Solanum lycopersicum: one gene and its partner. The protein of the gene in region 2 interacts with the protein of the main gene of each other region in a pairwise test. Links are inferred from orthologs where the notes say so. Each region holds a gene or a part of one and is shown on either strand. Other genes may lie near its edges. The genes, in order: type III polyketide synthase B and 4-coumarate--CoA ligase-like 1.

The links.
Region 1: the proteins of 4-coumarate--CoA ligase-like 1 (region 2) and type III polyketide synthase B interact in binary tests that used the Arabidopsis thaliana proteins (3 or more experiments, as listed by UniProt). The link is inferred for Solanum lycopersicum from reciprocal best matches to the Arabidopsis thaliana genes ACOS5 and LAP5.

What each region holds. Positions count from the first base shown.
Region 1 is NC_090800.1:93,557,972-93,574,932, reverse strand, and holds type III polyketide synthase B, read right to left. Parts: upstream 10,940-16,961; 5' UTR 10,840-10,939; coding exon 10,662-10,839; intron 10,199-10,661; coding exon 9,607-10,198; intron 9,205-9,606; coding exon 8,823-9,204; 3' UTR 8,602-8,822; downstream 1-8,601. Other genes in the region: uncharacterized protein, read left to right, coding at 1,432-1,572, 1,707-1,787, 2,209-2,333, 2,426-2,474; SN2 (snakin-2 precursor), read left to right, coding at 7,437-7,523, 7,778-7,823, 8,031-8,212; 5'-methylthioadenosine/S-adenosylhomocysteine nucleosidase, read right to left, coding at 11,858-12,055, 12,580-12,672, 13,552-13,626, 14,108-14,182, 14,423-14,529, 16,237-16,328. UniProt on the Arabidopsis thaliana protein: Plant type III polyketide synthases (PKSs) that catalyzes the condensation of malonyl-CoA units with various CoA ester starter molecules to generate a diverse array of natural products including long-chain alkyl alpha-pyrones.
Region 2 is NC_090801.1:67,012,010-67,028,800, forward strand, and holds 4-coumarate--CoA ligase-like 1, read left to right. Parts: upstream 1-9,589; 5' UTR 9,590-10,045; coding exon 10,046-10,477; intron 10,478-10,797; coding exon 10,798-11,397; intron 11,398-11,502; coding exon 11,503-11,689; intron 11,690-11,784; coding exon 11,785-11,930; intron 11,931-12,063; coding exon 12,064-12,131; intron 12,132-12,214; coding exon 12,215-12,443; 3' UTR 12,444-12,602; downstream 12,603-16,791. Other genes in the region: probable mitochondrial-processing peptidase subunit beta, mitochondrial, read left to right, coding at 4,388-5,053, 5,878-6,042, 6,168-6,305, 6,395-6,546, 6,642-6,750, 7,634-7,732, 7,824-7,889, 8,946-9,053 and 1 more; uncharacterized protein, read left to right, coding at 13,891-13,956, 15,462-15,527, 15,669-15,740. UniProt on the Arabidopsis thaliana protein: Carboxylate--CoA ligase that may use 4-coumarate as substrate.

The DNA of each region.
Region 1 (16,961 bases), on a different chromosome or scaffold from region 2:
TAAAACACTTCAATGAAAATTTTGAAAAAAGAAACATACTCGCATGCCCTATGTCACTCACCGGACATTTGCACTCCTCTTCTTCGCATGCCCGAATCATTTTAACCTCGCTTCCCTCAAATTTTCCACCATGGAGGCTACTCCCACCTTGACCCGTATGTCTTTGTTCCTAATCCTGTCTATGTCCACACATCATTTAAGCATCCTCATCTTTGCTACCTTCATCTTTTGGACGTTTGAGTTTTTGACTGGCTAACACTTCACCATGTACACCATAGTTGATCTAACAACCACTCTGCTTTATCTTTAAGTCTCGGTGGCACATTTTTATCGCATAGACCTGCAAGCCTCCATTTCATCCACCCTGCTCCAATACGATGTGCAGCGTCTCCGTTGATCTCCTCATTTCCTTTGATGATAGACCCAAGATAATTGAAGTTCCCTCGCTTAAGGATGACTTGTATATCAATGCTCACTTCCCCTCCTCCTCCTTCAGTGCAATACTAAACTTGCACTCCATGTGGTCTTTTTTAGTACTGCTCAATCTGAAGCCTTTCAACTCTAGGGTTTGTCTTCAAATCTCCAGTCTACATTGAACTTTGCCACATGATATATAGGAAACCTTCTATTCTTGTATTAACGAAGCTATAATATATTGTCATAACAATGTTCAGGATGTGTAAAACTTTTTATTGCATTTTAACATCTTCATAATTTCATAGATAACAGAGACAAAAATGTTTTCGTATCATGTGTTTTAGTGTTTTGAACATAATGTGTAGTCATTTACGATATATAGCACACATTAGGAAATTAGGTTTATTCTTAGGCAAAATCCACACCAGCATGAATATATGTTTCTTGGTTGTGTTAAATTATTGAGATCTGTGTTATTTAGGGGATTTAAGATAATGAAAATGGTTCAATTAGTTTTATTAGAGGTGATGACTATTACTTGTGTAGTTCATAAGTCAAATTTGAAAACTTAAAACTCATTAATAATCAAATTATGTATAAAAGAATGTGACCGAGGGAATACAATTTTTTATCATCATTTGGACTGAGGCGTTGTTATTGGTTTCTGTTTTAGCTGCTTGTAAGCATTTTGAAGTAGTACTCTGTTCATATATTATTTTTTGCAGTTTAGCAAAAGCATGTTAGTGAAGTGACCAGAGAGGCTTCTTATTTTTCCATGCCTAGAATCTTTCGTTTTCATAGAATTATCTCTGGACTCTAAATGGAGTCAGAGTGGGTTTCAGTTTTATCTGAGAATGTGAATTGTCTTTGGTTCTCTCAAGCAGCTGGTGTCATTATTCTCTTTGTTTTTGTTGTGATTTTGTTTGCATGACTCTTGTGATGCTACCCTCTGCACAATATTTCCTCTTTTCATTTTGAGAAGAAAGCATCTGTTCTTTTTTCCGTCTTCTGCAGGTGATCCCTTGTGCTGCCTTAGCTTTACTAATTCATCCATCTACATCACATCTCTTCGTCAATAGAGTCTTCTGGGCGTTCTGTGTTTACTTGGAGGCAGTTTCTGTGCTACCTCAACTTCGTGTCATGCAAAACACTAAGGTATAATTGCATGCCAACAGTTATGTAATGCAGATTTCTCAACCCCCCCCCCCCCCCTCTCCCTCATTATTTTTGTGTGTTGTGAGAACTGCCTTTGCTTGCCTTTGACCACCTCTTTGCTGTTTTGTGCACAGATAGTTGAACCATTCACAGCTCATTATGTATTTGCATTGGGTGTTGCAAGGTTCTTAAGCTGCGCTCACTGGGTTCTCCAGGTTTGATTTGCAAATTTGCAGTTCTTGTAGTAATTGGATTTTAAAACTCTTTAAGTAACTTTATTTGAATATCATTCATAGTTCCTGTATGGATGCCTCATTTTATGATTTTACCCAACATGGTTTTCTTTGACGAACAATTAACGAGCTTATATGATGCTATGATTTCATGTTCCTTGTTGGCTGGCCAAGTTTTACTGTATGGAATACCATTAGTTGGGCAGGCAAGGAGTTGCATTTTGATCACATACCAAGTACTCACTATGTTATGTGGAATTCATTAGGGATGTTCAATTATTTCTTTAATTGGTTGATCAAGATGTTTAATGCATTGGTTGGGCAAATTTTCACATATTTGGATTTTGTTAGCATGTTGTTTTAGCTCTAACAACCTTATGATTTTTTCGTTGCTTTGTGACAGGTTTTGGATAGTCGCGGCCATCTGCTGGTAGCATTGGGTCATGGTCTATGGCCTTCTATGGTTTTGATATCTGAAATAGTTCAAACCTTTATCCTAGCAGACTTTTGTTACTACTATGTTAAAAGGTAAAATAAGCTTCTCTCATGTCCATCTGTTTCTTATCCTCTGCCATTCCGTATTGATGATGACCTTTTACATTTTTCTTATTTATTGGCAGTGTTTTCGGTGGACAGCTGGTAATGCGCCTTCCTTCTGGGGTCGTGTAACTTACGATTGTGATAGTTATGGACAGAAATTTCACATTCGTTTGTCACTTTTCTTTTGGTTATCTTGGGTTTCTGTAGAAGGTCCCAGCTCTTGTCTAGGACCCTTGAGGCGCAATGCACCTTTTGTGAAGTTAGCACTATCTTAATTATATAAGCAGTAGATTTTCTTGCTATGATAGACTATTTTACTTTGTTTAGCAGGTAGCACTAACATATGGCTTTTGGATATGTACTCATTTTTGTACTCATGTACTAATGTACAATGAATGATAAATGATTTCTGACATAACTTTTCCTGAATGTACTCCTCCCCTCGCCCTTTCCCTTTCAGTAGGGTCATGTAACAAGGGACATACACTTACTCGTTTCTGTCATAGTGGGATGAACTCGTAACACAAGTTTTCTGAGTGAAATCTGCAACAACAGATCATCATTTCACTTCCACCACAGAACGTCCATTTCTTTTGATCTGCATTTGTTGAGAAATTTTCAACAATGTAAATTTGTATGTGGATGAAGGGGAGTGTAGGGTTTATGTACATCTTACTCCTACCCCTTTTTTTTAAGCGTAGAGACTGTCCTTTTGCATAAAAGTACAACTAATGAAACCTAAATGCGAACATATGAAAGACGTTAAGAGGATGAACCCTTTGCGCCCCTAGCTTCACGACTGTTTAGATTTTGGTATTCCTACCTCTGCCACATTGCCTGTTTCCTGACCGAACTTCTTTTTAACCAAATGTGTCTTTGGACATTGGCTCTACCCTTGAGTATGTAACCTATTTTCAGATATATTTCCACTAATTCAGAGTCATTTGATTAGGTAAGCAGCTTTTGCTTTATCTTTGTCATTTCCTTCTAAAGCTAAAAAATAAGGGAGGATAATCAAGTTACATAGCTGCCAACTGAACAGATTATTGTTTTATGATATTTTAAAAAATGATACCGCAGTGCTTTTAAAACAGAAGAAAATCATTTTAAATATATTGTATCGATGAGAAAGTTGATTTGCCAAGTTTTTTTTCTTGAACAACGACATACCCTTTACCATTATTCGTGGGAATGAATTGAATATGTTATTATTATTAATTTTTTTTACATAAATTGATATATTTGAAAAATAATTATTGATTTTAGCAATACTTTTTATATATTACCATTTATAGCAATATTATATTAAATTTGCAATATGTATTAAAAGTGAATTATACATACAATATATTTGAATTATAATTATTTTATAAAATATATTATAATTGTTTGGTAAAAATTTGACACATTGTATCAAAAGTATATTAAAATGTCTGATAAATGAATTATCTATCATTAAAATTTGTATTATATATGAATAAAAAATTATTCTTTGTAATATAAATTAAACTTGTATTATAAATGATTTAAAATTGATCAAGTGAAAAAAAAATATTATTGCTATAAATAGTAAATACTTATATATTATAATATATTTACGTAAGTTATTATTATTATTATAATAACTAACAACATACACAAGTCTGGATCCATATCTTGTACTAGCAGTACTATTTAATTACCATTGTGCGGTAACATCATTAAAAAGTTGCCTGATCGTATATGGTTTAAAATGTGGGATGTGAAGATGAAAGTGACAGCAGAGTATTATTGAAGTAAAAAATAAAAATTTCATTTTCATTGTTGTCCTTTTTCCTTTTTATTTCATTTTGTTGGGTTGCTATGATTTTTTGTTATAAGTGCGTCCAGAAGTTTCAAATTAAAATGGAATATAAATATTTGTACAGAAAGGAAAAGGAGAGCTCCAGAATACAAACAGCTGTAATGCACACAAGATGCTAGCTGTTGGGCTTAACTCATTCACAGTAATCACATTACACCACAAAAAAAGGAAGTAGCATTCATTATTGTTGTTGTTATGCTACAAATATAGTACTCTAATAAAGTATATATCATTTATATACTACATATTATTATTATTAATAATAAACTAGTATTAATACGAAATCAATTACTTAAACGTTAAAATTTTGATTATTTTATCTGATTGAAATATTTGTATAATTTATTAATGAAAATGATTGTTTGTACTTTTTTGTTAAAAAAATTTCTACCTACTTAACTGATAATCTCTCTGTCCCTATTTAATTGTCCACATTAGAAGTGACACGGCACCAATTATTATCATATGTTAGTTACAATTTTATGTTATTTTAAAAGATTATGCAGCTCTCCAAGTATAATAAATGTATTTTTCTAGTTCCAAAAAACATGCATTACAACTTAGTAGTACTAAAAATTTTCTAGAATTAAATAAAGACATATTAGAAAAAAAAATTATTGTCCTTCCTTGATTTGTTAAAATAGACAAATAAATAGAAATAAATATAAAAGAAAATATAAACAAGTAAATAGGGACAGAAAAAGTATTATGATATGATTAAAATGTTTACTTATTTATCTTGTCAGTCATTAAATGTATTGAATTTATTTGATATGATAATGATATATGTATTTTTTTGAATAACAAAATATTTGATACAATCGCACTAGTAAAATTTGAATTGGATAAAATTAAAGTTCAAATTTTTTAATATCGTACCATGGTTGTTGAATGCTGTTTGCTTTTGACTTGAAAAATCATGATCTTATCTTTTTTTCTCATATGCAACTTTGCAAGTTTTTGTGATGGCACAATTTCCAAAATCCTAAATAATTGTCACATATACAACATTAATGCTTTTTAACTTGATAAACTTCAACTACTGGTCCATACGCGTTTTCTTATTAAAATGGAACTCTTTTGTGGTCATATTATAGCTTTATTAGCTGTGTGCTAAAGATTAAGATAGATACCCTTTTTTTTCCTAGTATAAATAGTGGAGTCAGTTAAGATATAAATTAAAATATATATTTAAAAAAAAAAAGTAAATACACAAAATAGTCAACGAGATTCAATGCATAATATACTAGTAATATTTTATTGTTTTTAACTTATTCATAGTGGATAATTTCTGACTCAGAAGTATTAATTGACTCCTCGTGAATGATTGGGATTTATTGTTTATTTTTTTTAAAAAAAATAAACACTGTACCTTAACTTATATTGGAACTGATTTGTGAATTTTGAATCATAAATTTTACATATTGTGGTTTAACAATGAAGTTTAAAGCTTGAAGAGTCTTATCGATTAAAGATGATTAGGACAAAAGATAATGTGCATGATTCGTCAAAAAACCTTTAATTTTAAAAAAATTGTGTCGATCATGCATGTATATCACCTAAACTTATTTGTATATATTACAAATTTTAGAAGTGAAATATATTTAATGAATGAAATAGCACATTAAACAATAACTATTGAAATAGAAAAATATTAGTTAAAAGAGATTGATTTTCTTTTTAAAGTTGGACGTTTTTGAAATTTTCTCAAGTTTAAATAGTTTCTTGGTTGGTATAAAGTCAAATAATTTTATTTTTTTTAGGATACGTATTTATGTGTTATTTCTAGTACTTTTTAAAAAGGTATGTTTCACTGGAAAATTCAATTTCCAAGCATAAAAAATCTTCGAAAAATCAACATTTATGAAAGGTAATTATGAAAACAAATGGGGTCGAGTAAGAAATGAGCTTCTTATTATCTTTAACTTGAATATATATATATATATTGTGGCGGAATTAGAAATTTCTGAAAGGGTGTCCAATAATAACAACTTGTTATGTTAAAAGTTTCTAAAATAGGTTATTTAATCATTTTGTATGTCATTTTACTTGTATATATGCTAATTTTTTCCGACAAAAAGTGTCCAATTTGACAGTATTTGACTATGCCAATATATATATAAGTAGTTGAACTTTTTATCGAGGGATAACAGTATTTATCATAAACTGAATTTTTATCTCGATTTATGTGATTCAAAAGTTTTTTCTAATGTGTTAGAGTATTATGATTTATAATATTTTGTAAAATAATTTTTAAATATATAAATTTTATTTCTAAAATAATTCATGATTAAAAAAAATTAACAATCTGGCTCTTAAATTTTTTAAATAATATCAGGTAAATTGACAGAGAGAGGTAGAGTAATTAAGATAAAAAAAGTGTAATTTTAAATAATATCAGGTAAATTGACAGAGAGAGGTAGAGTAATTAAGATGAAAAAGAGTGTTTTAAAGAGATATACATGAATGGTACTTTGAATTATTTGTTAGATAGAATCTTAAGTTCTCTTTTGGCCAAGGATAATATAATTAGGAACCAACTTGTTTTAATTAATGTAGCTTTGTAGACTTTGTGTTAGCTATGTACACCTACCACAGCACTTATATACACTTTGAAAAATGTACTAATCATTCCAGACTCCATGATTAAGCTGTTAGATATTTTATCAAGTAATTAATTAAATTCCTTTTCTCGATTTAATAGTATACTGTTAGGATCGAATTCACACACACTTGATAAATGAAGAATACATGAGTTTTCGAGAGAGATGAAAAATCTAGAGAGAGAAACCAATAGTTTGTGGTAACACTTCGTGAATAAACTTTTACAGTGGTGAGATATATATATTAATAATTCAGAGTATGAACAGTTACAGAGAATAAATACAGAATAAACAGTACAATCTAAAATTTAAACCGCGTAAACATTAATATATGTCAGTATATCAAATATTAATCAGGCTTTATAACCTAACATATACCCCATTAACCTACTACAGTATTAAGCATCACGTACGAAAAAAAAATCGCATGCATGAAACCTACTTGTATAGTATATATATATATATATTTTTTTTTTTTTAAAAAAATATTCTTTTTGCCAAGTGTGTTTTTCTATTCTATTTGTCTTCATATACATGATTCTATACATTACCACTATTTCCCCCCACTATAAATACCCCATTTACTAATCAATTTTCATAAATCAATTTTTTGGAGAAAAAATCTCAAAAATATTTCAAATTCCAATGGCCATTTCTAAAGCTCTCTTTGCTTCATTACTTCTCTCCTTGCTCCTTCTCGAGCAAGTCCAATCTATTCAGACTGATCAAGTGGTGAGTTATTTTATTTATTCCTTAGCTTACACAAAAATTATATTTATCCTAGATATATTTTGAACTCGTAATAAACAGTCAAAAAGATTATAATTTGGATTAGTGTTTCATCATAAAATTATGTTTCAAACGTTTTCTTTACTACATGAAAAAAAATTAGTCGACTATCTAAGTATATATAGAAAAATTTAATCATATTCCTTAATTTTTCAAGATTAATTTATTCACTGGTGATATATGTTTGACTTTTGCAGAGCAGCAATGCTATTTCTGAAGGCGCTGATTCCTACAAGAAAATTGGTATTTTCTAATTTCTTATTACTCTCCCGCTAGAATGCCATACAACATTTTGTCACCTTTTTCAATTTATAAATATCTATTCCCCTATGTCATGTATCAATTATAAATAATACGCTTCTTATATATTAAACCTCGAACATCCTTAAGCGAAATTCGAGCATATATAACTAATTATTAATTTCTCATATATATGTTGTTTACGTACAGACTGTGGGGGAGCTTGTGCAGCAAGGTGCCGATTATCATCAAGGCCAAGATTGTGTCATAGGGCATGTGGAACTTGTTGTGCTAGATGCAACTGTGTTCCTCCTGGTACTTCTGGCAACACTGAGACTTGCCCTTGCTATGCCAGTTTGACTACTCATGGCAACAAACGTAAATGCCCTTAAATTTCTTCTAAAAATATCGTATATCGTGTGATTACCACGGATATGTTATTATTGTAGTGTATTATTTTGTCATATATTGTGTCAATAATCAAAATCCAGTAAAATATCTTTAGCGTGGGTAATTTATTTTTTGGGGTGTTGTCTTTGTAATTTTGAGGAAATTTTATTTGTGTGTTGATTAGTACATCTGGTGTAATATTTATTCTGGTTTGCATTGTATTGTATAATAAGATGAGGAATAAATGAAGTTTGAGTATATTATTTTATATGTGTTTTATTCTTGGATGTTAAGTTTTATAGTACGGAATTAAATAAAGATTATTTGTCTCATTCGCAGCTCATTATTTTTCATACTATCGCATTGCTTCTAATATACTTCTAGACACGAATGGTTTAAAAGAACTTTTATAACATCATGTTACCTGTGGTATTGAATACATCAGTAAATGAAAATTATAAAACAAATTGAACCAGAAGGAATATAGTAAACACCAAAAAAAAAAAGTTCAACAATTGGACTTGCATCGAGTACTCTTTTAACATATTCGAATGATGAGACTCTTTTTCGTTTATTTTGTCGAAAAATTTTCAAAGATCAGTGACGCACGATTCAAATAGTGAGATTCTTTGTAAGAATACCCTCAAAGGTAATCCCAGGGCCAAATGCGAGAATCAATCCCCAATCAGTGATGTCTTTTTTCTCCTCCAACATGTATTCCAGCACATACACAATTGTATTGCTACTTGCATTACCATAATCTGCCAAAGCTCTTCTACTAGCACTCAATTTATCAGGAGACAAATCTAGCTTTTTCTCTAGCCTGTTTAAAATAGCAGGACCACCTGGATGAACTGCCCAAAACAATTTGTTGTATTCTCTATCTTTGATTCCAGAAATATTTATTAACTTGTCACAGAAATCCTCAATATTATCTTCAATTATCTGAGGTAGTTCCCTTTCTAGCTTGAAGCTAATTCCCTCTTCAGTAAGCCTGCAAATTTAGAGGTGGCTAAATTAATCTATTAAAGTAATTTGTCTAAGTTTAAACAGGCTTGACTGAGGCTTGGACAATCCTCCTCCCTATAAGCTAGTTAGTTTTTGGGGCCATAAGTTAGGCCTATGACTTAATTTAACAAATTTATCAGAGCAGAGCTCGTCTCACTTGATGTTGAGATCTCCAAAATCAAAATTGTCCACGCACCAGATACTGAGCACTGGGAGTGAGATGGGGTGTTAAAGAATGACAAAAATCTCACATGATTAATGAGATGGGTGTAAAGCTTGGATAATTCTCTTCTCTATGAGCTAACTTTTGGGGCATGAGTTAAGTGTAAGACTTAATTTAACAGGTTATAACATTGGTTTCTCAGAACTAAAAATATACTCGCTATACCTGCCATCAATGATCTTTTCTGTATCAGGCAAGAAATGCTGAATAGCAGTATGCAATTCAAAAAGAGGTCTTTCGATATCTCGAATCGGGTTAGATCCGATTATCATAGCTCCAGCACCATCACCAAAAAGAGCAACACCAACTAAATCATATGGCCTATCAACACTAGGTGGTTTGAACCCAATTATAGTAGTCTCTGAAGTAGCTAACAGGACTCTGCTTCCTGGATTATTCTCAGCAATGTCCTTAGCAACACGAAGGCCCGCCACACCACCAGAACAACCAGCAAAATACAGCATAACACGTTTAGTTTCCGGGTTTAAACCAAGTCCTTTGGCTAAGTAAAGATCTCCTCCTGGTAATCTAGCTTCACTTGAAGAAACATAGACTACATGTGTAATGTCTGAAATTGGCCTTCCCCATTTCTTAATACAAGATTGTGAGGCTTCAATTGCCATTTCTGTAACTGCTGCATTGCATATGTCTAATCTTTGTTTTACTGTTGGAAGTCCTTCAACTGCTAGTTCAGGATATTTCTTTAGGATCTCCTCTGACATTACCACGTACCGCGTTTTCACTGTAGTCGTCTTGCCTGCAAAGTTAAAGGAAACGAAGAACAAGATAATTAAATCCGCTCAAGAGGCAAATTCAGGATCCAAAAAAATATTGCACTAACTAGTTATTCATGAACATAAAGTATCTATAAAATATATGAACTATGTTTAGGCAGGTAGCTGGAAGACGCAAAAAATGGGCATTAGACTTGTAAGTTAATATCAAAATTTTAATCATGAGATAAAAATTGTTTGATACGAGACATCAACACATTCTCTCAATCAAAGGGCATTGGACTTGTAACTTAATCTCAACAAGAAGCATGAATTACTCATGAGTCTGACTCTGATGTCATTGTTAAGAAAATGAACCTCAAAAGCTAGCTCACGAGAAGAGGATTACCCAAGATAATATAACGAGAAAACAATCATGCTATCAGCACCTTACAGCTGCTAAATAGATGTTTACGGTTAAAAGAGTGAAAGAAAGGAAAAGATTACAGAGTCGAGTGAGCCTCTGCTTGAGTTCTGGATCATCACAGTTGGTGTTTTTGAAATAGCCATCAACCAAAAACTCTTGCATAACAAGCTGATGAGGGAAAGCTTTGCCCAGAGCAAGAATGGTGGCGTTTCCAAAGTTGATTTCATTCCTTCCTTCCATTTTCTCTAATATCCCCATTTACTCACTACTTGATCCTTTGAAGGTGGATATAACTTTGTGTTTATAACACGTACTAAATAGTTTTATGTTACTCAATACTTGCCACTTTGAAGTTGCACAACTTTCTATTTATAACAGGTATTGAATAGTTTATGTTAGATAATTTAAGCGGTTTTAGATGTATCATCAAACTGTAGAGGGGCTCAAATATTGTTGACTATTGAGTTTTTGGGGATTAGTTGAGGAACAAGATGTTCATGATTTTGACAGTCCACAAGTTCTATCTCAATTTAGTAATGTTGAATCTTGATACGTGGTTGGTGGCATTCTGGTTAGAAGAAGTTCAAGATACAACCTTGAGCAGAATGAATCTGTTACTGCAAGAACAAATAGACACAAATAATTCCCTCACGTAATGTGCAGTCTAGGCTCTTTTATGAGTTGGAACTTTTGCCCTACTCATAGCTCACCCGCTCTTGAAACAATTACTAAGCCACTAATAATGATACAACATCATTAATTGCGATACGAAAGTCGACAATTAAAATCAATGTATTTAACTAAAAAAATTAAACAATCTCATGATCAATAGGAAAGAGCAAATGGAGGTTGTAAACTTTGAACCTCAAAGGAACTTAAACGTTGTTCAAGTGCTTTGCAGATAATTTCCCAACTAGTATATAGGAACACCGCTTTCTTCCCTGACTAAAATTTCCATAAATCTTATAACTCATTCATTAGTTTTACAACGATTACAGAATATCAGCTATGTTTAGAGAAACTAGCTGGAACAATGTGGGCCGATGAATTGTACACCTGGACGAAAGTGGACATATCGAACCAACATTAAATTTCAGAGTGACATCTTGATACACTAATTTACCATAATATAATAAAAATTAGAGTCACTGGTGACTTAGTATAATGCAGTTCGAAGGAAGTAACATTCTCACTGCCCAGAAGTCTAATAATTGCCTAGACACAAATGTCATAGGTTCTTTCCACTGAAGCATGCACGAGATGAAATAAGATTAGATCACAGCTCCACTAAGCACTTCCCACTGATGTAATCAACAACTTGGGTGGCAGTTTGATCAAGTGCAGCGGTTACTGCCACCAGATTTTCCAAAAATTCTTCCGGTGTTGGTTTATCACCATCCACAATGTCTGTCACAGCTTTCACAAAAATGGCAGGAACTTTTAACAGATCTGCCACATAAGCTACGGCTGCTCCCTAAAACCCAAAAAACAAATTGGAACAGAAAAAGGAGTGAAAATGTATATCCTAACAAGAAAGAGCAAGGCTAAATGAGCACAGTGATTAGGAAACAAAACAGAAGTACATTGAACACTTGGCACAATTGCAGTCTTGAATTAGAGGGGAAAGACGGAAGCTACATTGAAAACTTGGCACAATTTCAGTCTTGAATTAGGTTTCCAAATATCATGCCTAGCACTAGCATCAAACATGCCTGGGAGGGAACAAGTTATTTTTTATTATTGAAAAGGTCAACTTTGAGATATTAAATATCTTAGACGACAATCTTTCTCAAAAAAAAAAAAAATATATCTTAGACAACAAGAGTTTATCTAATCGACGAAGTATGTGGAGCTCAAGGACAACCAGGAAAGACATGTTGATGGCCAGAATAACACTATTTGACCAATCTCTACAGGGGACTACAGAATGACCAGCGGACTAATTTCTCCAAGTCTTCACAAAAGCAATCATACTAAACTTAGACATTTAGATGTTACCTCCATGTCTTTGATTGTTGCGTCATTTGCAATGATAGATGCTTCATCCATTGGAGACATATCTAGAGAGTCACCAGTAGACAGCTTGCCTACCTGTAATGAGGAGATAAATTACATGACAAATTAATTCAATGTCTTTTTTAATCAGGAAAGCTTTTTGCTATTAAATATACCTAATGACTTTCCAAGTACATGGGCACTATAAGCTAGGCAGGAAACAATCAGATGTTATTGTGGAAGAAAGTATATACATGAACATTAACAAGTTTGACAAAAAAGGCATGTAAGTCTTACATGGTTCTCAAGCACATCGTAACATCTAGATCATTACTACACTCTTTCGAGAGAATCCCATTTTCACATGCCAACTCACGAGCATCCAAAATCACCTAATTACAGATATTGCTAAAATATATCCTTTAGGTACATGTTAAACTTGTAGAGATCACTATGTTAAAAGTTACCACATCTATGTTACTTCTCATTCTCAAAAAGACCACATCTTAAGTTGGTAGGACCTATTAAGATTGTCTATACTTGAGTATCATTTTTCAGAAAGAAAATAGCAGATAGTGTACAGGTACTGGCACAAAGTGGACTATAGAAACACGTACTTATATAGTAGAAGATCGTATCTGATATAACATCAGCACCATCATTCACATTAAGATAATCACCCACCAATCCGAGAAAAGAAGATTTCATATAAATCAAATTGGAGAGGAATGGATGTTAGGATTTCATATAACCAACCAAAATTAGTTTGGAAAATGACACAGATGCCCAAATCCAACTTGACAAAATGATAATGAAAGGACAATCTGAATCCACAAAATGTCAATGACGAAGAAGCTAAAACCACAATCTAGAGAAGTACATTCAGCAGCCATAGACAAGAATAGATATCAAAGCAGGTGAGCCATGAGCTAATTAAAGTTGGTTCTTTTTTATGCACAGTTGAACAATATTTACCTTCAAGTTAAGCTCCTTCAGAAGATTGGGTGTAGCAAAAGCCTTCCGCGAACCAACTCCATATATATCAAATACCTACACATATATGAGTGCACCCAAAGACCTTCAGCTTAGCTGCCCATAAAATTAGCAAAAAATAATCCAAATCATGCACCCAAAGACCTACAGCTTAGCTGCCCATAAAATTAGCAAAAAAACTTTCCAAATCATAACGTAGGTGAATCAAAAAATTTGAGGTTTGCAGTAAATAACCAGGGACTTCTTTTTTTTTTTGAGAATGATAACTTTATAACCAAGGACTTCTTTCACTAGATTATTGATCACAATGTCCTTAAAACAGTTGAAGCACCAAGTCCAGTAAATAAACTGGAAATGATGTAAAATGTAGAAGTTTAGCCACAACAATAATAGGAATTGTGATCTCTGGTTATGAGGTATAGAGGCAAATGGTTTGTCAACCTAGTGTCAGCTTTGATCCAGTTTCCCACATTCTATGTGGTTCTTAACAACAATAGAATTCAAAAGACATAATGCGTGGATGGAAAATGGATATTACCGGGATTGGTATTCTTCTGTCATGGAAAGCAACTTCTGATGAAATAAAAACATCTCCTATTGAAGCACCTTTGGCCTGAAATAAGTTAACGCGTCAAAAATAACATAACCAAAGAAAAATTTATGTTTGCTCAACATGGAGGAATAACAGGAACAAAATTTTCAATTAATCTGTCCCAATATCTTCCTGTTCCAACAAGGTTGTCGCTTTTCCTCTAACAATTTATCTTACTAGCGCTCAATAAGAGAGATGAGAGAAATAACAGGGAAAGAGGAAAAGGAAGATTATATCAGAATCTAAAAACACAAATCATACCCCAAATCCACCTGCTGTGCCAGCATTTATGATGAGGTCTGGCTTTAATGCTTGGACAGAAGCATATGTCACAAGAGATGCAGAAACCGTGCCCACACCATCAACCCCTGTGTTAGACCATTCATAAGTTAGTTTGACAAACTTTAGACCACTAGATTTGATGCATATAAGATATTTGAGGTATACGAGGACACACACTGCAAGAGAAAACATCAAACTATTTAGAGCATCAGATACTTTAGTGCTTTGGCAAAGTTATTTTCCTTCAAGCAAGAGGAAGGTTTCAAGAGTAGAAGACCAGGCTCTAAGACTACTGGCTACGTTCCTCTGCAAATGGGCACACCCATATATATGTACTCATTAACTCTAAATTACAGCCTTGATCTTGAAAATGCAATTCATCCTTTGACCCAGGATAACTAGCTAAGCCACATGCCTCTCAAGGATGAATTTCCAGATCTTCACCGCACATGTAGAAGCCACCATAACCCAACACAAAGGCAATGGAGTTCGAATATCACCTTTAGAGAAATTGTTAGAAGTTTAAAAGACAGATTTCATTACTGAAAACACTGGAGGAAGGGTGCTGTGAAGCAGGTTGGGTAAAAAAGGTATTTTACAGTTACAGCATGTACCAAATATGATACACTCTAGCAGAGCTGATAAGGTATGACCGTGGAAGAATAGGGCCCTTACAAAAGTAACCTGTTTTGGATGGACTACTATGCATGAATCAAGTCTTTTTTTCATAACTGCGGTGTTTGGATAGTGAAGAAGCTAAGTTGCTAACCACACCTTTCTGGGGCTTCATCAGTGTAGATACCATTCAAGTCTGATGGATAGTGAAGATTTTTAACAACTCAATTTTTGCATCATGGAATAGCAAGGAAGATAATTAATGATTTTGGATACTTTTGAGTTGTGGCATCATCCAAGGCGTGGCCAAGCAGTCAGTGAAGCGGACAAAAATAATGGAAAACTAGGCTCAAATCCCACTTGAGATCAAAAATACGTTTGTGTAATTTTTTCCAATGGCAGAGTGATCTAGTCCATGTGCTTGTGAGAGCTACCAGGTCCTAAGTTGAACTGATATGGGCACAAACCGTAAGCTAGCTTAGACACCAAACCGTGTATGATAGGCCTACTAAGTGATGCAGGAAAAAAAGGTCTACAGGTTCAGTATCACTGTTTACTGTTTGGACTATTTGAAGGAGAGAATAACTAGTTTCATTGAAGCAAAATATAATCCTCTTCATAGATTGAGGGCTTTTTATAATTTGCTTAAATGCTTCAGTTCTTGGGTATATTTTCAGTTTGTGAAGTTATGTGAGTTTTTGGATTTCAGGCACCCTACATTAGTACCACCCTAACAGGGAATAGGGATAACCTAGCCTGTTTTGTAGTTCACAACAATCCCACAGTGCTGAGTTTGTGAATAATACAACTTTCCTTACATCAACCCCCCCCCCCCCATTTTTTTTTTATAGAAAAAAGATGTATCTATAGAGATGGACATTTTCTATATACTTCAATGTACTTAATGATTGGACTAATAGGAGACATACCCCACGAAGAAAATGAGAGAGTCCACATAAAACTTCCCATTTGAAGAACTGGTTGGTGAAACTTTATCCTACCACTAAATGAGGCAATACACAATATGCTAATACCTCGAAGGGAAAGAAGGATTGTTACTATAATATAATTTTCTATCTCAAATGTGGAAACAATATGCTCGTGCATTGGTTATATAAGCGCCACGTTCATAAGATGTAATCAGCAAAGTAAAAATTGCCAAGATCAAAATACCCTACCCAATGCTGGGTCTTTCCCAGGACAAACAATATTAACGGTGAGACCCTTGTAATTACCATAGAACCGCACCCAAGGGACTCCCTTTGGGAACCTGCATTGGGCACATCATCAGATATTAGATCCAAGAAGAGACAGCAGAACAAACCACCAAGCATCGTAAAAATCTACTGCATAAATAATTACAAACTATATTGAGCATGTGGAAAATTTAGAGGTTCCTGGTCATCATTATAATAAAATTCCCAGGTCTTTTGAAAGAATCCAACAAGGCAACAACTCTTACACAATTCATTTTCGAATAGGATATCATTCTTTTTTCTAAATCATGTGAATCATCCTCAAAATATTTTCAGTTTGAATAAGTATTACCCCCTCCATCCCATTTTATGGTGCCGTTTGACTAGACACGGTGTTTAAGAAGAAAAGGAAGACTTTTGAAACTTGTAATCTCAAACAATCCTTAGATATTTGTGTGTGTGTAAATCATTTCATTAGTATTATAAGGGAAATTCAAAAGTTACATTGTTTATAAGTATAATAAGGTGACATTCTTTTTTGAACGGACTAAAAAGGAAAGGGTGTCTCATAAAATGGGCCGGGTGAATCAATACATATGCAACACATCATAATCTTGCTAGTTTGTTTAACAAGCAACCTCATACCACGTCCATATGATTCAACAGGTAAACACTGCAACATTTGTTGTCATAAAAAATATACATAG
Region 2 (16,791 bases):
TTTTTCTAAAAATGTGAAATATATTTGCCAAATCATATAGTCAAACACATGGTGAAATTTCACTCGAATTTTTACTCATATAATATTTATCAAGAATATTTAAAAATTTATATCCAAACTCCAATTAAATTTGTAATATATTAGTAATATTTAAATAGTTATTAAAAAAAATTAATATATTATAAATATGAATAAAAATATCTGATACATATGAATATGCTGATCGAAGATAACAAATATCACGTAAAGTATAGTTATTAATCTAATATCACAAAAGGTACTATTGCCGTGATGATTTAAGTTGACTATTTAACACTAATTACGGGAAAAGTAAGCTTCAAATCAAAGAATGAGGTACTCGATCTACATGTGGTGTTGGTGGGTACATCTTGAAAAGGGGGAAATGGCCTTTGAGTGAAATGCAAGTTCACTCCCTAGTCCCAACGATACTATAATTTTGCAAATCAAACTCTTTGTCTGTTTACTTTTAAGTGTCGTGATTTTTTTTTGAGTTGAATTACAACAGTTTTAATTAAAGGGAAAAAAGTCTGATATATTCCTTAACTTTGTTATTTAGAGCTGATATACCTCTCGTTATAAAAATGTCTCACATATACCCTTCATTTAACGGAAACAAAAAAATCAGTTTTAAATTTCTATTTATTACTTCTATTTTTAAAAAAAAAATATTTAGGGTTATATATGATTCTTCTATCAAAGTTCAAAGTATATTTTAATTTTGTTCATACATAAATTATTTTTTGACTTCTTTTGTTATAATTATTTGAGTTTCTTATTCTTATTTTATTTTTTTCTTTCAAACTTCCTTAGTTCAAAGAGAAAAAAAAATTAAACTATTTTTTTTGTGTGTATTGTAATTTAATTTCATATTCGAAAAAAAAATTGAACATCTACAATAAGTTTTACAAGAATATTAGTGAAATATAAATAAATTTGATTATCAAAATAATAATTATAAATTAGCCATTGAAACAAAAAAAAAGTCAAAAAATATGTTTAACGAAGATTAAATTTACTCATATGAGATTATATTTTTTAGAAAAAATAATAAAAAATTAGATTAATCTTCTTTTTTTTTCATTTCCGTTAGAGGAAAAGGATATATGTGAGTCATTTCTTTACAAGTAGGGGTATATATGAGTCATTTTCATAACAGGGTATATCAGCTCTAAATGACAAAGTTGAGGCGTATATCAGACCCTTTTCCCTTAATTAAATATGATATAATATTTTTTTATCGTATTGATGTGCAAAACATTATAATTTATAGTAATTTTTTGTACAATTTTTAAATATCTAAATTTTTTGTTAGAGATATCAAATTAATGTAATTTAATTTAACTTACAAAATTAATCAAATTAATTTTTTTTAAAAATACAATATAATAACAAATAAAATAGAGGTAGGAGGGATAAAATTTGGTTTAAGTACCCACTTTCTAGACTACTTGTCAACGAAAGGTAATGCATTTGCACTTCTAATCATATTTGATTTTGACCTTTAATTTTTACCTAAAAGAACAAATTATTATTTTAAACATATATATATTTTTTTATATCACAATAATTCGTAAGTTTTTAACAATTTTTTAAAAAAAATCGAGTTTGAGCTAAAATCCAAAGTAAACATGATTAAAATTCTTGAACAATTCGTCAAAAATTGATCAAACTTTTAAAAGCCATCCAAGCGTCGACTTTTCGTGAATTAATGATCTTAACTCATCAAAAAAAATTCCCCAATTTCAAATGACAATAATAGAAGGAAAAAGAAACAAAAATAATGACTTCTAATCCAATCACCAAAGAGAACGTCATATAGAGGAAATTTTATAATATCAAAGAGATTAAATCTGCTTAGCTACGTTTGTTTAATTGTGTTTCATAATTTTAGTTTCATTTGTTATAAATATTTTTATTTGTCTAATTTTGTATTTACACATTTTGGATTTTTTCAGAAATTATACAAAATAAATGTATCAACAAATCATATAGAAACAAAATAAACAAATCGTATATAAATAATTAAGGTAAACATGTATAAATTTTAGATTTATATATTAGGAATTGAATTATACAAATTCTATATTTACACGATTAAATAATTAATTTATAAAAATTTTGAGTGTGGCCTATATAAATATGATTATAGATCAGTGACAAAAAATAATTTTTAAAATTATAATTATGTTAAATAATTAACTAATATATATTTGGATATTCGCTCAATTCTCATATTGAAGTAATGAAGCACAGTCATTGTTAGACATCAAATCACAATTAAATTGGGGTCAGTTAGGGTAAAGCACAACCAGGCCTTTCTCTCCTTTCTATCTTGACTCCAATATTTAGCCCAGCCCAGAAAACAGCAAAAGACTTAAAATACAAAAAGATAAAATAAGAGTAAATTTTAGGTTTAGCAAATATAAAAATTATATTAACGCTCTATAGTTATAGTTTTGCTATTTGGCCATTAAATTCATACAAATTGCAGATATGCATTTCGTTTGTATAAAAGCGCAACGATTGTATATGTATATCGACTAGACAATTATATATATGTAATTACTATATATATGTACCAATGATTCTGTTTGTATATGTACATAAAATTTGAATTTGTATACAATTGATCTGAAATAAAACATTCTTATCACAAATCTCTCTCTTGCTCGTATTATACAACACAAATTATACATTGTAATTTGTATAATTCGTGTTTGTATATATGAGAAAGATAAAGGAGAAACTGGTACGCGAAGATTTGTATTTGTATAATTATAAGTGTATAAGACGAAAATATATATATTTGTATATATTGTTTTCTGTCGCTTTATACAAACAGAATTTATACATTTGCATTTGTATAAATAAAGTGAGAGAGGCGAGTTAGAGTGGCGAGCGAGATTTCTGGGGAGAGACGCGAATGACAAGTGTTGGTACGGATTATAATTAAATTAAACTGTGGTTGTAACATTTGATTTAAATTATAAGGTTGCTATTTTATACATTTTCTCATAGATTGACAGATGGATAGGGAGGGAATAGGCAAGCGAGAGAGGGACAGAAAGAAGAGAGAGGCAAAATGTATTAGCATATTTAATATATAATTATATATATGTAACAAGTATGTGTATGTATCAATTATTGCATTTATACATTTGTTGGATGATTATGTATATATAATTAGTATGCATATATATCAATGAATAAAACTATATTAATGCATAAAGTTTGTATCCGAATATAATTTATATCAATGAAAATTGTATCAGCGTTGTATTATCAAGTCCGACATTTGTATAATTATTGTTATCATTTGTATTAATTGTATTAACTAATACAATCTACATCAATTAATAAATTGAATCAATATTATATCAAGTTCATCATTTGTTTCTGTATAATTGATTATTTTCATTTGTATCAATGTCGTATCATCAAATTCACTGAAAGAAAGATATATATAATCAACACTCATTATTTTCCTCCAATACCAACTACTAAATGAAAATGTCTCTGATTATATTGTCTCAGTAAATCATGACATATCAGGATATTATGCACCATAGACCTTCCTTGCACAAAAGCAGCTAATTAAAAGATATCATCACATAATCACCCAATCACGTAATTTTTCCGCGTAATCAATATTTTATAGTCTTATGATATTGGTATGATTCTTCTTTGTGGGAAACTTACATAAATATGTTATAATAAAAAAATATTTATCATTTATATGTAATAATATTTTTTTTTCACTTGATCCCTTTTAATTCAATTATATTACAAGTTTAATATATATAAACAATTTATTATTCACATTTAATACAAATTTTAATAATGAATAATACATTTATCACATATTTTAGTACAATTATAATACGATGTGACAATTTTTTACCAAATAAACATGATATATTTTAAAAAAATAATTAAAATTCATATATATTGTATACATAATTCACTTTTAATACATATTATAGATTCAATACAGCATTGCTATAAATGTTAATAAACAAAAGATATCACTAAATCGGTAATTATTTTTTATAATGTATTAATTTATGTAATTTTTCCGTTCTTATTTGTAGGCGTGTGGATTTAATTTCATAGTCTAATTTCGTTGGATATGTTGGGCTAATTCAAGAGATTCTAATGGGCCTAATAACGGATCAATATTTTTGGGAAGTCCATAAAAAAAAAAAAAAAAGCAACTATTTCATCCCCGAAACAAGTACGACGTCGTTTGTAAGCTTTCTTAGTCGACCAGAGCGTGCTTCTTGATTTTCTTGAGCTTCGTTCCCATTTCCCTCTTTCTCTGTATAGGAACCACAACAAACCCTAGCCTAATTTACAAGCCATAGCCATGACGATCCGGCAGCTCTTAACCCTAGCCCGCCGGTCCCGAAACCTATCCTCATCCCATTCACTGCGGCGTCTTTCTTCGGCGTCTGCCGCCGTCGCCGCCACATCCTCCTCCGCCCCGGCCATCGGTCCGCCACCCCCAGATGCAATGATCTACGATCGATTGGCTGAAGACGTTAAACGAAAGATCAAGAGACTCGAGAATCCTGATTCCCGATTCCTTCAGTACAACTCGCCACACCCAACTTTAGCCGACCACACATCAATCCTCAGCTTCCCCTCTACGCGCGTGACTACACTACCATCGGGCCTGCGTGTGGCCACGGAGACTAATCTCGCTGTCAAGACTGCCACCGTTGGGGTATTCATTGATGCAGGGTCAAGGTTTGAGACCGATGAGACTAATGGAACAGCTCATTTTCTTGAGCATATGATCTTTAAGGGTACTGAAAAGAGGACTTCTTGGGAAATGGAGGAGGAGATTGAGAATATGGGTGGACATTTGAATGCATATACTTCCAGGGAGCAAACAGCATACTATGCTAAAGTGTTGGATAATGACGTCCCTGTAGCTTTGGATATTTTGGCTGATATACTTCAGAATTCTAAGTTCGAAGAGAAAAAGATTGAACGTGAACGTGATGTCATCCTCAGGGAGATGGAGGAGGTGCACTTTTTTTCTCTATTCTTTGATCTCTGAATATCAAGTTTGCTGTTTTTTCGATCTTTGTCAATGAGCTGCAATAACCCTACGTTATATTCTACTAGTCTCTGCATGCACTTGAAGCTTAACTAGTAAGCTGGTCACTAAAAACTAATTGGCATATTCATGTCAATTGACTAGTTTTACACTGACCGCCAACCTTGCAACCCTCATTACCCTCACGTAGGGTAAGAACTTGCTCTAACCCCAGTTCTGAAATTCAAGATCACTTGCGTTCTTGTTGAGTTCCCTGGATGCTAACAGGTTTTAACTTTACTGTTTCTTCGTTTTTCTTTTACTTCCATTTAAAATTACCTCTAGCTTCTTCAGTTTTATGAAAGTATACAGTCCATAGTATTTGAGTACTGTTGCAGAGAACTTTCAAAAGTAAATCTAATTGTATTATTTAGATTCAAAGAAATATCTGAATCCAATGAAACATAGGTAGATGTTGAAATGGTTTACTGATTAATATCCTAAGATTTTATTGAGGATTATTGTGCTTCAGGGAGTTGCCCTTGTTGATACAATGTAGTATTAAGTACTAACCGCTATGTATCCTCATTATTTGAGAGATTAAGAGCCATAATGAAGGAAATGAAATGGCCGTGCATTAAGTTTGTGATTGACCTTACAAAGAGAAGACGTTCCTCTCTAGAGAAACAGAAGAGAGGGAACTCCACACAATCCAAAAAGTTACTCCTGTAGTGAGCTTATGAAACCTATCATGCTGCCTGTATCATATACAATCTGAAAATTAGCAATCCATTATAACTATCTGTTTGCAGGTCGAAGGTCAAACAGAGGAAGTCATCTTTGACCACTTGCATTCAACTGCATTCCAGTACTCACCTTTGGGTAGGACTATTCTTGGACCTGCCCAGAATATAAAGACAATCACCAGAAGTCATCTGAAGGACTACATATCAACACATTATACCGCTCCCAGAATGGTATTTAGAAATGATTTCATCTTCTTTTTCTTAGTCTGTCTTGCTTGTTAGCTCAAACTTGATTCTTCAAGTATTATCATAATCTGCTGTATTAACTCTAGCCTTTCCCGTGGACATTAAAATAGGTAATTGTTGCTTCTGGGCCTGTTAAACATGAAGAATTTGTTGAGCAAGTTAAGAAACAGTTTACTAAACTTTCAACCAATCCGAGTACGGCCTCAGAATTGGTTGCCAGAGAACCAGCAATTTTTACAGGTTCAGAGGTATGCCTATCTTATCAGGGTTCGTTACGCCTTCACGGTGCTTTTTTCAGTAGAATAAGTTCTTATGCTGATCATTTTACCAAAATCAGGTTAGGGTAATTGATGATGACATTCCATTGGCACAATTTGCTGTTGCTTTTCAAGGGGCACCGTGGACTGATCCAGATGCCATTCCACTGATGGTAATGCAATCCATGCTGGGCACTTGGAATAAAAATGCCGGAGGAGGGAAACACATGGGGTGAGTGTATCACTAGTTCTTTTACAATTTATGTCATCGCAAGCATGTCAATGGATCTGTCTCATGTTTTTATGGGACTTCCTAATCATTTGCAGCTCCGATCTGGCACAAAGTGTTGGCATTAATGAACTTGCTGAGAGCATGATGTCTTTTAACACCAACTATAAGGATACTGGTTTGTTCGGCGTGTATGCTGTTGCAAAGGTACAAATCTTTAACACCTAGAGTTCCTTCTACTGGAGAGAATGTAGTATGATGATGCATTACCTTATTTTCTTGCATTTTCTTCCATCAAATAAAATTTGTTTTGTTTTTCTTTTTTAATGTGTGTGTGTGTGTGAGAGAGAGAGAGAGAGAGACAGAGATAGATAGATAGAGAGAGAGAGAGAGTCTGAGAGGGGTGGATCTGTTGGTTAGCTGAACAGCTGCTATAAATGCAAGCTCTTGCTCGGCTGATTGGAGTATTAGAGTTTGATGTAAAGGTTTTAATGCACCACATCTTCTATCGTGGGGTTTATGTAAAATGTACGTTTTATCCTTCAGCTTGTTTTTGTTTTCATTATGATTAAAATGTAGTCTAGATTCTTGAATATGCTTAAAAAGTATTCTAAGTGTTTATTGGTTGTATATTGAATGCGGAGTGAAGTAGTTCTTTTTCAATGTCATCTACTGCTCATGTTTTGGATAGATGTAGTTCATATATTATTAGACAAGGTGTTACTCATCTGCTTGGATTTTTTGAGATATTGTGGTTAGTGTAAACTGAGTAATTTTATTTATTTGTTCTTAAAAGAAGCAGATCTTTTCTCTAATGACCAAAAAAAGACGGTTAGGTGTTGGTATTGTGACCCTTTTGACTGGCATGTGGTTGTAAATAATTCTACTATATATTAGGCAAGGTAGTTCTTATCTTCTTGGATTTTTTGAGATAATTTGGTTAGTAAAGTGAGCAATTTTTTTATTTGTTCTTAAAAGAAACATTTTTTTTCTCTAAAGACAAAATTAATATGATTAGGTGTTGTATTACCATCCTTTTTATGGTTGTGAATAATCCTTGTTTTATCTTAAATGAATTCTTAATGTGCAGCCTGATTGTTTGAGTGATTTGTCCTACTGCATTATGCGCGAGATAAGCAAATTGTGCTACCGGGTTTCGGATGCTGATGTGACTCGTGCTTGCAACCAGGTTTGTGTTACTTAATGTTAAACAGTCTGGCTAGTTGTTATTACTCCTTGCTGTTTTTCTTTGTTTCTCTCTAACCAATATCGGTTTGCAGTTGAAGTCTTCTCTCATGCTACACATTGATGGAACTAGTCCTGTTGCTGAAGACATTGGGCGTCAGGTACTATTCTGATATCCGATTCTGTGGTTGTACACATGTGTTTTGTCATGATTGTAATTAGTATTTTCTCATTAAGTTTATTCCTTGTAATTTCGGGGAGAAGTGGTGGGATTGGGTGGTATCATAGATAAGACGCTGCAAATGTAACTTAATTCCTTCTCTCACGGTATTAGTTTCCAGAAGAATGTTCTGGACACCTACATATATGTGCATAAAAGGGACACTGAACTGCTTCATGTACTTGAATCATTCCATGACCATAAACATTCTGAAGTAGAAGCTATAATAGTATCGAAGAGGATATTTTAGGAACTTTGTTACTCTTGGAGCAGTTTTAGTTAAACCGTGCCTAAGCCTACTAATGGCACTTCCCTACCCTAGATGATGACGATAGTTTGGTCCATTATTGCATATAGATTCTGAATTTCAAGATTTCACGATGCCTGAATAATCCTCTTCACCACTATAACAGCTTCTACTACCAATATTACTGCAACTAAATATAAACACGTGTTAGCCATATCAGCAGCAATTCACTGACACATTCCGTATTTGGTTCATTAAGTTCATTTTTGTTAGAGGTAGTGTAACTTGGTGGTGCAGTACAACATCAAGTAGCAGCCTAATTATGCATGCTTAATGTCTGAATAGATTAGAACAAAATGAATGCTGAAAGGTGTTGCTGCCAGCTGGTTGGTAAAAATAGCCCTTAACAGACCTTATAAGAAGAAAAATTGGAAAACAAAAAAGAACAGCTCTTAAACCGCAGTACCTTTGCTCATGTTGAGTTAAGAAAAAACTCTAATGTGAAGAGCCAAATGATCAAAGTTTTGCTGACAAGTTTTGAGTGTGTCATCAAGTATTTGTGTTTTTGCATGTCAAGCGTACTGCAACATCTGCTTGTAAGTGGAGAACATAGGTTGATAGCCCCCCCCTCCCCCCCTCCCCCCCTCTCCCTCCTTTCCAATATGTGGAAAAATTGTATTTTATGTAAGCTTGACTTCGTTAGGATGGGATCCAGTGATTATTTGTAAACTAAGATCATCCTGCTTGCAGCTACTCACATATGGCAGAAGGATTCCAGCTACAGAGCTGTTTGCAAGGGTTGATGCTGTGGATGCTAGCACCATCAAACGAGTTGCAAACAGATTTATCTTTGACCAGGTAGGATTCAAAAATATTTGAGACATGGGAGTTCATTGCTATGAAACAATCTTGTTCACTCAACTTTCCTTTATCTTATTTTCTGAGTTTAAACCAAAATTTTCTTCCTTCTGGCAGGATGTTGCTATATCCGCGCTGGGGCCTATCCAGACACTACCTGATTATAACTGGTTCAGACGCAGAACCTACATGCTCCGTTATTAGACGATTCTTTTTTTTCTTTTTTTGGAGTTGTAATGCATCACAATTACACACCTCGCTCGACCATTCCAAACTTGGACATATAGGTCTTACTTTTCCAATTCTTCCTCTTGCCTACTTTCTGGTTTTGTAACGGTTTTGTAGCTTTTCCCTATAAAATAAGCGGCCTATATTTAATAATTTGGTTGTTGACGTTTGTTTTCATATTCTTTGAAAAAAATTGTACTCGTACATGCAAATTAACATGGTTTACCCTGTACTTTTTATATGAAATCAAGAATGCTATGGACCTCATTCAAAAATTGTCTTGAATCTCTTCTTGGTATTCAATGCAGTAAATTTCAAACTTAATGAGGTTGAATTATCTATGGTAGCCTTGCCAAAGCTGTTTTCAGTTCGACGTTCTGGTTGTTGGTACGTTAAGTAATTGAAGTTCACAAAGCAAATTCTGGACCAGTGTAAATACGAACCGAATGCGTGCAAGTGAGACGCACACAGCTAATCGGAGAATAAGTTTTTAGAAATTGTTATTCTGGCAATGGGATTGAATTAGTGCAGATGAGTTAAGGCAAGATGAGTTATAGGAAAAATAACTTGTGCATGATACACGTCAGGCAGAATGGAATGATTCAACAAATTCTTACTTATCACCAAAATAAGAAAAGGCTTCTTCTAACCTGCACGTATGCTCATTTCATATTCGTGATGCTACTACTACTTAGTACTTACCAAGGTAACATGATTCACCTATAAATTAGCTTGAGGAGTTGAGACAAGGCATATTCCTGGCAATGGAAACTCATGTTGTAGAATGCTCACAAAAGCAAGAGGAAGATGAACACATTTTCCGAAGTAGATATCCTCCAGTCCATGTACCAGACAATGTGACTCTCCCAGAATTTGTACTTCATAATGTAGAGTTATACGCTGACAGACTGGCTTTTGTGGATGCTACCACGGGCAAAGGCTACACATATGGCGAAGTTGAAAGAGACATAAGGAGGTTTGCCAAGGCCTTGAGGTCCCTTGGCTTAAGAAAAGGAAGGGTTGTGTTGGTAGTGCTTCCAAATGTACCGGAATATGCTATTGTTGCTCTTGGAATCATGGCTGCTGGTGGTGTCTTTTCAGGTGCAAATCCAGCAGCTCATTCATCCGAAATTATGAAACAAGTTGAATCTGCTGATGGCAAGCTTATTGTCTCTGATCTACCCACCTATCACAAGGTACGTAAGCTTCCAACTTATCAGTGGATTATGTAGAATTTTGCCTTACAGTGTCTGCACATTATCTATGATTTGTGTATGGGGTTACAGAGGTTTTAAGGCTTTACTTCTTGTTCAATCGATGTTTATTATATACACACGGGCACGTACTTGTTTAAGAAATTTGAGATGACACCTCTTGTAGAAGAGTGTCTTCAGATGGCTCATTAGGACCAAACTTCTTGTACTTGTTACTCGTATTGGTCCAACTAAAACTTGCATTCTACTATGATGGAAAACAAGATGCTTTCATTTTCCACCTAAAGTAATGGGAATTGCAGGTGAAAGATTGTGGATTGCCAGTAATAATACTAGGCGAAGAACGTGCAGAAGGGACGATTCATTGGGATGAATTGCTCGAAGCTGCAGATCGTGCCAGTTCCAGAACTGATCACATAACAAACCAAGAAGATGAAATTGTGCAACAAAGTGATCTATGTGCACTGCCCTTTTCATCAGGCACGACAGGACTATCCAAGGGAGTGATGTTAACTCACAGAAACCTAGTAGCAAACCTCTGCTCTACACTCTTTAGTATTAGTCCAGAAATGATAGGTCAAGTTACAATACTAGGTCTGATACCATTCTTTCACATTTATGGTATAACTGGAATCTGTTGTGCAACCATTAGGAACAAAGGGAAAGTGGTTGTCATGCGTAGGTACGAACTGAGGGCATTTCTAAATGCACTCATCATACATGAAGTCTCATTTGCACCTATCGTGCCACCTATCATCTTAGCACTTGTTAAGAATCCGATCGTTGATGAATTTGATCTCAAAAAGCTTAAGCTTAGATCCATCATGACAGCAGCTGCTCCACTTGCCCCTGAGATTCTTAATGAATTTGAGAAGAAATTTCCGGATGTTCAGGTCCAAGAGGTGAACATCCACTAGAAACTTATAATGGTCCTTCTCATGTCAACGAATTATTCAGTCCAAAATGTTGTTTTTGACAAGTTCTGTTCTGGCTTATTCAACTGCTAGGCATATGGGATGACTGAGCACAGCTGCATTACTCTTTCCCACAGCAATCAGCACATCGCTAAAAGAAATTCCGTTGGTTTTATTCTGCCTAATTTGGAGGTAAAGTTCGTTGATCCTGATACTGGTAGATCTCTCCCCAAGAACACACCAGGGGAGATATGTGTCAAAAGCCAATGTGTTATGAAGGGTAACTCACTATAACTCTTCCTTTTATACAACCTTTTGTTCTTGCAGGGATTGGTAGATATATGGAACTTAGCTCTTTGATGCGAAAATTTTCAGGTTACTACAAAAATGAATCCGAGACTAGCCTTACAATTGATACGGATGGGTGGCTCCACACCGGTGACATTGGCTACATTGATGATGACGGGGATATCTTTCTCGTTGATCGTATCAAAGAGCTTATCAAGTACAAGGGATTCCAAGTAAAAAGATCACTAAACTTGCTAAGTTGAACCTGTTTTTATTTTTATAACTTACAACTTGACTTAATTCACTAAGTTGAATCAAGAATTCTGTTTTTACCTTTGTCTGTGGACCTCTTTGCTGGTTTAACAGGTTGCACCAGCTGAATTAGAGGGGATCCTTCTCACACATCCTTCAGTGGAAGATACTGCAGTAGTTGGGTGAGTAAAATCAGTTAGCTGATTTCAGTTTTAAAATGGAAAAACTGTAACGAATAACAGATGTATATTCTCTACAACTCTAGGCTACCAGATGAAGAAGCAGGAGAGATACCAGCAGCATGGGTAGTATTGAACTCAAAAGCAAAAGAAAGCCATGAGGACATCATCAGCTACGTTGCATCAACCGTTGCACAGTATAAACGAGTGAGACTGGTGCAGTTTGTGGATAGTATTCCGAAATCTCCTTCTGGTAAAATAATGAGAAGACTTATCAAGGAAAAGATGCTAGAAAGACTTAAAGAGGGAACATAGTGATGTTACAAATACAAAAAGCAGTGTACAACTTACTCCAAAAGAACAATAAAAACACAATGGTGTTATTTTCATATTCAAATATGAGATCTAATCATAGATTGTAAAAGACATTATTGGATTAAACCAAATTAAAGATGCTTCCTTTTTATGTTTGCATGCAGGTTGTGTTTGACATATATAATATCAATATCAACAACTATACTCAATCCCGAATTAATTTATTCAACAAACTAACTGTAAATATACATGCATAAAAACAACAAAAAAAAAGTGATGAAGTGTTATATTTTTAATAAATATTTAAAGAACCCAAGTATCATATAATCTCGTGCGGTGATGAGTGGATGCACCTAGAAATTTGAATCTTTTATTTATCTTGTTTTTATTTATTTCTAAAATTGTGTAACACCTCTCTAAACGGTGGATCAATAAAAGATAATTTTGGACTATAATTTTAAATTTTAATGGTTTTTAGTGATAAGAACCTAAATGTTAAGTTGATCAAATTTATATCTTGAATTCACCTTTTCATAATAATCCATCATCATCTCAAAATCTTGAATGTGTCTTTGCTTCGCAAATATGAAACATCACACATGTAATTCAATCTCTCAGAGGTAAGACATTAGGAACGGTGCTCCTAATGTCAAAACACTAGGTGATTCTTTTAATTGTTTTAGTCTTAGTGGAAATAGTTTACAAGTATTTATAAATAGTTTACGAGTACTTATTGCTGGCAAAAGGTATCTCGTAAAATTAATCGAGCTTGCATTTTTTGTTTTATTTTTGTAATTGCAACATAATTCCTTACTGCCATTTAGCTTTGTTGAGGGACTAAAATAGCATATTAGATATAGATAAAGGTCATATATGCTCTGCAGAATAATATAAAGAGTAAAAGGCAATAATTTGAGGGCTAAAAGCACTATTTTCCCCAACTTCTGCATAGAAAAATAGTACGATGATATGCAGGGAAAACTGAACTCCGAAACGACAACTGATTTGAGGGCTTAGGGTTCCGACCGAATCACTCTCGGATTGAGAATTCATTGGAGACTTCATTTTTTCAGGTAATTAATTTGTTATAAAAACAATTCATATAATTAGAGTGGATAAAAGTTAGATTGTTTTTCCAGAAAAGTTGGAATGCCATACATTTGTTTGGCCAAAGTAAAACTGAGAATTTTGATGCAAATCATTGAATTGCTGACAAAAAAGCAGCCTTAGTATAGCTCATCACTGGTAGAACCCTAAAAGAGCTGAACACGCAGTCTCTTTTCGTTCACTGGGCGGGGCGAGTTTATATATTAGTTCACTGAAGTTGTGATTTCTTTTTCGATATCTTGAATAATAAAGGGTGTTGAATGATGTGTATTCACATACGCAATGTGGGTTTTCACCTTTAATGGGCTGTTCTTGTTTTTCTGGCTTAGCAGAACAGGAAATGAAAGGGACAGAGATTTTTGTTGGTGGTTTGGCCCGTACTACTACTGAAAGCAAAATTCACGAGGTTTGTTTCGGATTTATGTTACGTGATCTATTTGGTTCCTCAAGTTTATTTTTTTCATTTTTATATTTTTGGTTCAAGTTTGTTTTTTCTACGTTGAGCTTGTTTTGATTTTCTTTTTTTTGTGGATAAAACAAGTAAGTATTATTAACTGTGTGAGCAGTTGCTGAGAGTTACAAAAAGTGCTTAAAGGATGTTCCGAAGAACAAATATGATATCTACATTGTTAACAATTTCAACTTATCAACAATATCATTTTAAAGTTTTATGATACCAAAAACAAGGTCAGTTAAACACTTATGCATCAGTATATGACTAGGGTAAGTTTCACAATCAAAACACTTACCAGTGCTTCACTCGGCAGAGTCCACATGATTCATGTTGGGGTTGTAAACAAAATCTTGTGTGGAGTTTCTTGTGTGTTCCTACCAGCTGCATGGAGATGGTTATATCCAGAGTCCTTCACATTACTCGATGGACCCTAATTAGAATTTTTTTTTTACAGAATGATCTCATAACTCCCTCGCTTCCTTAAAATGTGAAAGAGATGATTAGCATCATCGATATCCTTTTCATACATATAACACTGATCTAATGGGATAAAACAGTCTCATTCTCTTGTTGTCTTTGAGTGAGATAAACATCATATACAAAGTCCAACTAAAGCATGTGACTTTGGGTGGAGCTTTACCTTGCGCAACAGTTACCCAGGCCATTCACTGGATGCCTTCAGCAGATTATGATAGTACTAGACTACTAGTTAAGTATAGCATTGCTTTGCACGTATGTTGCGTTAATTAATAACAAATGTATATAAAAAGAATAAGTTGTTGTGTGTATATTATGACATTGAGTACAATTTTTTCTTAAAAACAATAATGTAAAGCTGTGCGAATGTTGTAATATTTTAGGTTAAGTCTCCTATTGACTTGAAGGATTGAAGTTAGGCTAGATTGATTGTTCAATCAAAGGTATAAATTCACTGAATTCTAAGGATGAGTAGTTTTCTGCTGTCTTTGAGGGCTTAGTTGGGTCATTTTTTGAACAGACCATACTTCTTTTGAGGCAAGTAGTGTTTATCCCTTATTATGGTAATTGACGCAACCAATTGCTCCTTTTTGATCCTTATATCATAAATTGTTATTCTCATGAACTATATTACAAAATGGATATTATTTTAACTTCTATGTAATAATAATCAATTTTGTTCTTAAATAAACTATATGATATAGTTGTTTGTCAGCTTTATTCCTCTCTCTTGGGGTTGAATTGTTAAACGTAGTTATGCCCTTTTTTGTGGTAGATCAGTTTACCTATTCACATTCTGCACTTGTGAATTTATTTTTCTTGACTCTATTTTAATCTTTAAAAAACTAACAGAACACCCCTCGGCCAAAACCTATGATTAGAGCTGGACTTCTTATCGTCAATGATTTGTAACTATTTTATATCATCACATTGTATTTGTGTCAGATTATGTGTATATATAAAACATCTGCATTTTACAGGTATTTTCTTCATGCGGTGAGATTGTGGAAATAAGGTTGATAAAAGACCAGATAGGCAATGCCAAGGTAGTCAGTATGATCTGTTTATTTGTATTACCTCTTGTTTTCATGCTTTGCCATCCCTTAAAAAAAAAGCTAAAAAAGAGACATTAGAAAAAAACACGGTTTAGATGCTAATATTGCAGTGCTCATTTGTTATGACTACAGGGGTTCTGCTTTGTACGATTTGCAACAAAATATGCTGCTGACAAAGCTCTGAAGGAAAAATCTGGATATGTGGTAAAAGGCTAACAAAGATGCATTATTTCACTGTCTTGATAAACCATTACATTATTATTGGTTATTGCGATGGATTTTGCTTTTGTGATGCTGTTATTATTCATGAATGTACATAAGAACGACCACTTACTTGGATAAGCATTAGTGTATAATTCCTAGCCGAGACTTTTACTTGATGGCTTACATCTATTTGCAAAGGTTTGCCTTCTTTTAATTCAAGAATGTGTTCCTATAAAATAATGTTAAGAAAACAATCCGACTTACTCAGAATATTGATTTTTCCCCAGAATAAAAGATTGTCTGTATAACATTTTGACACTTTAACACTTTTAACTCAACACTTGAATATTTTTCTTCATGAAGAGCTTGAACTGCACATCTTGCTTTCTTGAAAGCTCTGAATTTGTATAAATGCTGGGATTTGTTCCACCAATGGGAGCAATTGATCAGTTCCTTGTTTTTTGCCCTTTTCCCGTTTTACTTTCTTTTTTCCATTCTTTGAATAGCTACAGATACCTAATTTGGTATTTGTTCAACTATGCACGTCTTTGTATTGTTGGGTTATCTCCTTACTTAATTATGAGCATTCACTAGATTATATGTTGTATTTTATAACATAGTCATGGACCATAGATCTACTAATAGTTCCTTGGATCCAGATAGTAAGCCCCTAAAATCAGGTGGGGCGCTATGTAGATCTTAACAGGCAACAAAAGGTTGGTTGGTGCATTAAACTACCTTTCTGTTAACACATCAAGCTCTTCTTTTGGTAACGATCGTAGTTTGTCAATTCATGCTCTGCTAGCACTGATCATCGGGATGCTGTTGTATGAACTATAAAATACTTAGTAAAGTACCAAGCTAAATGTTACTATACAAAGATGGAAGGAAATTCTCAAGATATAGGATACTTTGACTCAAATTGGGTTGATTCTCCTATTGATCAACTATTTATGTTTGGATACTATGTCTTTTGTGGTGGTGACTCTGTATTATGGAACAGTAGGAATCATAACATTTGTTTTATCACATGATTCCAATAAGATAGAAT